2 linked regions of the Arabidopsis thaliana genome follow. The protein of the gene in region 1 purifies or fractionates together with the protein of each later gene. This does not show direct contact. Each region holds a gene or a part of one and is shown on either strand. Other genes may lie near its edges.

What was found. Proteins that work in one complex are often made in the same cells at the same time.
Region 2: the proteins of ABH1 (region 1) and UBA1 fractionate together in Arabidopsis thaliana (co-fractionation; one large-scale study listed by BioGRID). This does not show direct contact.

What each region holds. Positions count from the first base shown.
Region 1 is NC_003071.7:5,634,755-5,638,509, reverse strand, and holds the start of ABH1 (ARM repeat superfamily protein), read right to left. Parts: upstream 1,627-3,755; 5' UTR 1,458-1,626; coding exon 1,374-1,457; intron 1,290-1,373; coding exon 1,230-1,289; intron 1,131-1,229; coding exon 1,074-1,130; intron 589-1,073; coding exon 517-588; intron 409-516; coding exon 346-408; intron 173-345; coding exon 1-172. UniProt on the Arabidopsis thaliana protein: Component of the cap-binding complex (CBC), which binds cotranscriptionally to the 5'-cap of pre-mRNAs and is involved in various processes such as pre-mRNA splicing and RNA-mediated gene silencing (RNAi) by microRNAs (miRNAs).
Region 2 is NC_003071.7:12,855,828-12,859,582, forward strand, and holds the start of UBA1 (ubiquitin-activating enzyme 1), read right to left. Parts: upstream 1,901-3,755; 5' UTR 1,684-1,900; intron 1,559-1,683; 5' UTR 1,543-1,558; coding exon 1,212-1,542; intron 850-1,211; coding exon 632-849; intron 335-631; coding exon 1-334. UniProt on the Arabidopsis thaliana protein: Activates ubiquitin by first adenylating its C-terminal glycine residue with ATP, and thereafter linking this residue to the side chain of a cysteine residue in E1, yielding a ubiquitin-E1 thioester and free AMP.

The sequences.
Region 1 (3,755 bases):
CGAGTTCTGATCCTCCCCACGGGAGGCTGGACAAGATGCATATAACGTAAAAGTCAGCTTGTGGCTGCCATGATGGATTTCCTTTCTCTTCATCCACAGTAGTGGCAGCAGATGATAGCAATGTTTCGAAGACGACAATCAAAGAAGCAGGTTGAATAACCTTACTGCACAACTAAAGAACCCAACTAAAACATGTTAGAAAATAGACAAAACATCTCAAAATTTTCACAAATACTGTTCTATATACTTCGCACTTTTATTTTTTAGACGCTTTCTGTGTATTAGAAACATGAACTAACATATTAAATAGACGAAGCAACCATGAAACATGATTAGCAACCATACCAGGGAAGTCATAAAGCGAAGCAATATACGGATACTGTTGCAGTTGCCAGAATCTAAAGCGACCTGGCATGTTTGACCAAGAAAAACAGTCACATTAGAAACAAAAGTAACTGAGAAAACTTATGTTATCAATTTATCCTTGGCCTTTGATGTACAGATTAGATTATTCACCTGGAAATTAGCGTGGACACTTTCTACTAGCTTCTGGACAAAATCTTCATTCTCCAAGTTCAACAAACCAATCTTAAACATGTGGAAAGACATCCATCAAACTTCGAAGTATGTGTATCAGATTAAATCGAACTAATTTATAACAGGGAACAGGGTATCTCAGTTCAAAAATAGATCCAAATGCTACTTACACAGATAAGAATTATACACAGAAAATATTCAAGCATTCTTTATTACTCAGAAGTTAGCAAATATTGATGAATACTATGAATAAATAGATTCCTACAACATGTTATATATGATATAATAGACACAAAATGATCCACCTTAAGGGCATTTCCACTATTATTTGTGTTTCTGAAGTGTTCATTTGTTTCAAGTTAAATGCCTTCCGTTATTGCTTCGAGCTAATTATTCTTCGATAAGAATCAGTTCACAGATACCATAACATACTCAATCAAAACCTCCACATATATAACACATCTAAATGCAAGCCCAACATCCAACACATACCCAGAAATGAAAAAGCCAAGGTAACTAGTTTATAAGAGACTTACCAAAGTCCCATACAAAGGAATCTTATGAGGCAATTGTTCAGCACATTGTAGTAGAAACTGTTAAGACGAAAACAAAAATAATGAGAACACACAATAATAATATCCACAGAGATACATCACAACAGATCCTAAAATTGAAGGCTCGAAGTCACTTACAGGCAAAACTTGATCTCCAGAACGCTCGATTTCTCTACGAATGACACCGAAACAAGTCTCCTGTATATAGAGAATCGGAAAAGTTTTGAGTAGTGAGAAAATTAGGGTTTAAGAGCGAGGATGAATCGAGAGAGAGATACTGACGATGTGGTCTTTGTAGTCGGAGGAAGTGCCGTACTCAGGTCCCTTTTCGCCGATGCGAAGGAGAAGAGTTTTCCAATTGCTCATCTTCTTCCGAGAGGTTTTTCTTCAGTTCGTCTCTTTGTTGTTTCTCCTTTGGTATCAGTCACTCTGCCCTAGTTTTTTTTTTTATGTCCGTGTCTCGTCAAAACTAATTTTTTTTTTTTTTTCTCATAAGTGTTGTCATCTAAGAAAAGGAGTTCACAAAAAGAGTTTGACAAAAAGTTTTTCTCTCTCTTCTTTCTCTTAGTAGCTGAAACTAGCCGTTAAAACAATAGTCGTCCCAGTTAATTTGGAGCCTAAAGACTTTTCTCTCAGGTGTTCTATTCTGAACGGAGCTTCTACCAGAAATATTTACGTGTTCGGTCCGGTCTAAATTGTTGTTTTCTTCCTCGGATTTTTGGTAGTTCTGACTCTTTCTCTGTTACGAGAGTTTGCTTTGTGATTCTCAGTTCTGTGTTGGTTATCATCTGAATTACTCGGATTTCTTCACTGTTTTTTCTCTTGGAGTTTGTTTCCTGCAAATCAGGTTTGACGAGTTCGGGAAAGTTGTTTACTCTCTATCAGGATCTCATCATGGAGCTGGATAAAGCCATTCAGAATATGTCGATTTAAGACAATAAGCCTCTGATTCTTTCTGATCAACCGCGCTTTTGTTCAATTAACAGAAACAACTGTCGTTAGTTGGGTAGGTTTTTGAATCTAGAGAATCAAAGGATGTCTAATTGGATATTAGATATGCCACGAATTTGGAGAATTTCTTCTCGGGTTAGAGGTGTTGCTCTCTCAAAGGATCGATTCCAATTTTTCTTCAAATCTGAGGAAGATTTAGAAGAAATTATGAAAATTGGAGTTTGGACAGAAGATAAATTGGGGTGTAGTCATGGATAGATGGATTGAGAATCCTCCAATTGATTATCTGAATTTTCTTCCAATCTGGGGTCGAGTGAGGAATATTTCGGTGAACTATTATACTCAGGACACAATTAAAGAGATCACGAGCTGTATTGGGGAAGTGAAGGAGGTGGTGATGGACTCTGAAAAATCACAGTTTCAGGACTATGTTCGTGTTCGGGTTTTGTTTCATGTCGCCAATCCACTTCGTAACAATAAAGAGGTACAACTTCCATCTGGTGAAGTTGTCACAATTTCTTTTGACTATGAACAGATTAGAAAGAGATGTTTCTTGTGTCAAAGATTAACTCATGATAAAAATAGATGCCCATCCAAAGTCTTAGATTCCATCAAACATGATGTGAGATCATTACAAGAGAAAGGCAAACAGAAGAAGATGTTTTTACCGAGGCTGGCTGAGTTTCCCTTTCAGTCAATTGCTCCCAAAGGAAGGGTAGATGCTTTGCCAGCAAATCCTCTATCAGCTACTGTTGCAATTGATAGTCATCCAGAGAATACTTTGTTAGCTGAGATGCTAGATTTGGACATTAGTACTGGATTTACCACATGTGTTGGTGAGGCTAGTTCCTCCACTTCAGGGTTTAAACATCATATAATGCAGGATTTCACTCCTTTTCAGTTCAGGAAAGAAAAACTAGTTAATGAGCTGTCTCTGAAGAATAAGGTTATTCAGTCTCCTGCCTCTCCTCATTTTGAAAAGGTGTTCAAAAGGAAAAGAAAACCCTCAGACATTACAGAAGCTCAAAGTTTCAAGAGAGACAAGAATACGGTGGTTCCAAGTGAACCACCGTTGGATCAGTAAGGCGTCCTTAGTTGGAATTGTCAAGGCTTGAGGAATCCTTGGACAATTCGACACCTTAAGGAGATGAAAAAAAATCATATCTCGGACATTTTATTCTTCATGGAGACTATGAATCCTGACGAGTTTGTTTCAAAAGTTATTGATTGGCTTGGTTATAACTATATGTATACAATAGAACCTCAAGGGAGAAGTGGTGGCTTAGCAATCTTTTGGAAAAGCCATTTGGACATTGAGATTCTTTTTGATGATAAACATCTTTTGGATCTTCAGTGTTCTTCTAGAAATAAAGTATGCTTTGTTTCTTGTGTTTATGGGCATCTGGTGACATATCTTAGGCCTTAGGTTTGGGATAAGTTGTGTAGTCTTGGATCACATCGGAAGCAAGCTTGGTGTATGATAGGTGACTTCAATGATATTAAGTCGAAAACGGGAAAGAGAGGGGTCCGAGAAGAGTACCTTCTTCGTTTCAATCTTTTCAAGACATGTTGAATACTTGTGATATGCATGAACTAGGTAGTACAAGCAATGGCTTTACTTGGGGAGGGACTAGAAATGGTCAATGGATTCAGTGTAGATTGGATAGATGCTTTGGGAATTCCTCTTGGTTTTCTTTGTTTCCAAATTCTCAC
Region 2 (3,755 bases), 7.2 Mb from region 1:
TACTTTTTATCTTCCTTGGTTTCCCATCATTCAATTCTGTCATACCCTCAACTTCTGAGAAAACAACTAGGTCACCATCTTCAAACTCAAGCCTCTCATCGTCGACACAGGAAATAAATGCCTGGTTCTCATTAGAGATAGACGCAATGATGCCTGTATGGGGTTCCTCTCCATCAACATCAAGAACCGCAAATTCAGGCCCAAAATCACAAAAGACAGAGCCGAAAAGACCCCTGACATCAGCCTTGACAAAAGCGATAGGAGGCTGATGGCTGTGACAATAGTCATCAAATTCGATTGCTCTTTCCATGCTTATGTCAGAGAATACAACAACCTGTTTGGCACAAAAGTAGATGTATCAGCGTAAAACCCGCCAACAAGAAACACACACCAATGAGAAAAGTGTACACCAATCTTCCATATCAATATCAATAAACACTAGAAATAGCCTAACACTAAATGAGACAAAACCCATCTCTTATATGCAACGAAAATAGAACAACCCACTCTTATGTTACTCATTCAGTTACAGTGTTATCATAAACTCACAAGTAATCTACAGAACGATACAGTACACAAAAGACTCAGACCATATAGAACCAATAACAAGACAAATGAGTTGTCTACAAACCTGGAAGCCAGAAAGATCCTCTTTGTTTAAGCTTTTGGTCAAGCTAGAGACAACCACAGCATTGTTAAGATCCTGTAACTTCTGAACAGAAGCATCTGCTCTATTCTTGCCAACATCATCCTCCGAGAAAACAAAGTTGCTTGATAAGTCCCATAGCTCTACAACTCTTTCATCATGCAAGGTCACAGACTTCACACCAGCAAGTATAAGATTCTTGGCTGAAGAAAATCAACAAATAAAACAAAAACTGAATGAGAAAGCAATCGACTAAAAAGTATCATTAACAGTTCACATTTACCATGCATCTTAGAAAACTGGCATATAACGAAACCCCAATAACAAAGATATCGAACAACTAAGGAACATCAGGAAGCTACTAAGATTTGGATGTTGAAGAATACCAGCAATCACAGATCAGGAGAACCAAAACAAAACAACTAAAGAGTAAAATCTTTGAAGATGACACAATTATTCACAGCTTCTAATAACGACGCATACGAAAACAGTGTTTCTACAAGTTTCAAAAACCAAAGAGACGAGGGAGACCACAATCTCAACATAAAACCAATGAAGTACATACCAATCTCGGCACCAAGACCGTGCATCCCCGAGATGAGAACATTGGAAGCAAAGAGACGCCTCATAGTCTCACGACCATAGACGGCGAGCTGGCGACTGTGCAGATCTTCATCAATCTCCTGACGGTTCGAATTACCAAAAGCCATGTCGATTTGCTGAACGACGCTATCGCCGTGAAAACCCCTGCTACTACCAGAAGCTAAAATCGAAGAAGACTTATCAGACGAAGATTCAGTGAAATCGATACGGCGTTTCTTAGATGATGCTAAATCGGAACCGATGATGGTATTATCGTTCTTATCGTTAGCTTCACTAGCTCGCTTGTGAAGCATAAAGTGATGAAAAAACCTGGAGAAAACATGTGAAATTCCCATTAGATTAGAGAACACTGAAGAGAGAAAATCCGATCAGAATTGAAATACCTAACCCTAGATTGATTCTTCGGAAGCTATGAGAAGGAAGATAAAACGTACCTTTGAGGAAAGCAGACGAGAGAAGATTGGAATCGGAAAAGAGAAAAAGTTTTTGAGATCTGAAAATTGAAATTGAAGTGACGAATTTTGCAGAAATCTCTAAGATTTATTTAAGAGAGACGGGCGAACGAAAGGGGTTCGGTTGTGGGGGGATATGAAACGATGACGTTTTAACGGTTAAGGTTTGATTTGTCGCTCTTTCTCCGCGTGATTGTGACGGCAACTCTCTGACCGGGGGACACGCGTCCGTCACTATTTCAAGACCAGATCCGGTTTAGTTAATTTCTTATGGATCCTTCTTATGAATCTGTATTAAATCTGAAATATTGCTTTCTTTTTTTAATTACCAAGTTCAAAAAAACTCACATCTTCTTTTGGATAACTGGAAACTTTAATATTATAATTAAATATTAGATCAATTTCCAGCTATGAATATTATAATTAAATACATTTTCTTCTAAAGTTTCTCAAAACAATCTTTTGAAAAAAAATTCATGACTTTCTATGACTTTATTTTGTGAAAGAAAATGTAGAAAGTCATGAACCAATAACATAATAATTTAAATCATAAACAATCAGAGATTTTTTTGTTTTAATAGAATAACACAAAAAATTTACTGACTTTATAAAAGTATGAATTCAATAATCTAAAATTTATGAAGATTTTTAGATTACTTTTTACAAATCTTTAATGAATAACACAAACTTTTAACATACTTTTAAATTTTTTTGATTAAATAACAACAGATTCTACATGATACTTTAAGTCACTAAAACTCTTTTGAAATCATAAACCAATAACACCTCCTTAACTCGTGGTTAGTTTATACAAAAATAAAACTCTATAAATTAATACTTGATAACTTACTTAATCACTATATTAATAAACGATTGTAAATTGAAATTTAACTTATGATTAGTTTGGTTAAAAGTGTAGATTTTGGAGTTGATGTTGCAATTCCATGGATAGACGATCTTGAAATATTTGATCGCAGTCCATGGGAGTGAGATTTCATCAACTTTCAATTTCTAGAGGGAGAAAGCAACAAGTCGTGGGTCTTCTTTTATCCAACTAAAAATGTTCATCTTGGATATTTTAATTGCAATGGTGCTCTTATAAAGTGGGGCAGTGTCAATTACTATGTTCATCAGTTTCAAATGGGTCAAGAAGTTGTGAGCACTTCTTCTAAACTAGCTTACTTAAGGTATCATGATGATTTACCCATAGAGTTTGTGGATGATTGGCTAAAAGGATGGAGTTTGGCAGAGTATAACTACAAAGGCAAAAGTCTCTACACTCTCAATTTCTCACCTCAGGCCAAGTCATTCATCACCCTAAGAAAAAACAAAAATGGAGTTGTGCAAAATATCTTCCCAAGACGAGTACTAATGATGCTGGTAAAAGAAAGGAATCCACTGGTGCTCCCAAAACGAAGAGGATTGCTAATAAAGACAAGGCTGACAAAGTGGCAAAGAAAACTAAAACTGGGGAAACCCTGAAGGTGAATGTACTTCAGAAGCAATACGAGTTAAAGGCATTTTGTCGAGCTCGACAGGCAGTATTGAGCTAACTGATAATGAGGGTAAGTGAAGAACTCTTCTATTTGTAAGAAAAAAACAGCAATTTAGATATGCTTAAAAGATAAGTTATCTTGTCAGGTGATCGTGCTCTATCTGATATTGGTGCTGCATTGGATGCTAATATGAGGAAGCAAAATCTGAAGCTTTAAGAAGGAAAGGCATAATAGATGCAGTTGAAACCTGGAAGCAAGCTAAGGAAGAAGAAAAATGGCTTCGTGACTACGAAAAGGTAGGTGAAGACCTGTGATACATCAAGAGAAGATTGACTTGATTAAAGTAAGCATTTCTTATTATATATTCTTGATCGTCTTTATAGGATGGAAACCTCTTCAATCTTGTAACTCGTAAGAGGAGAGTACGAACACTTAGAACGTGCTAAGAGTCTTGTCATGCAAATTCCTGGTGAGTCTTTATACGCGTAACCCTATTACCCTCTCTTTTTGAAGTAATGAACAAAGACTTAAGATGATAGTATTGTGTTTCTTTTCTAA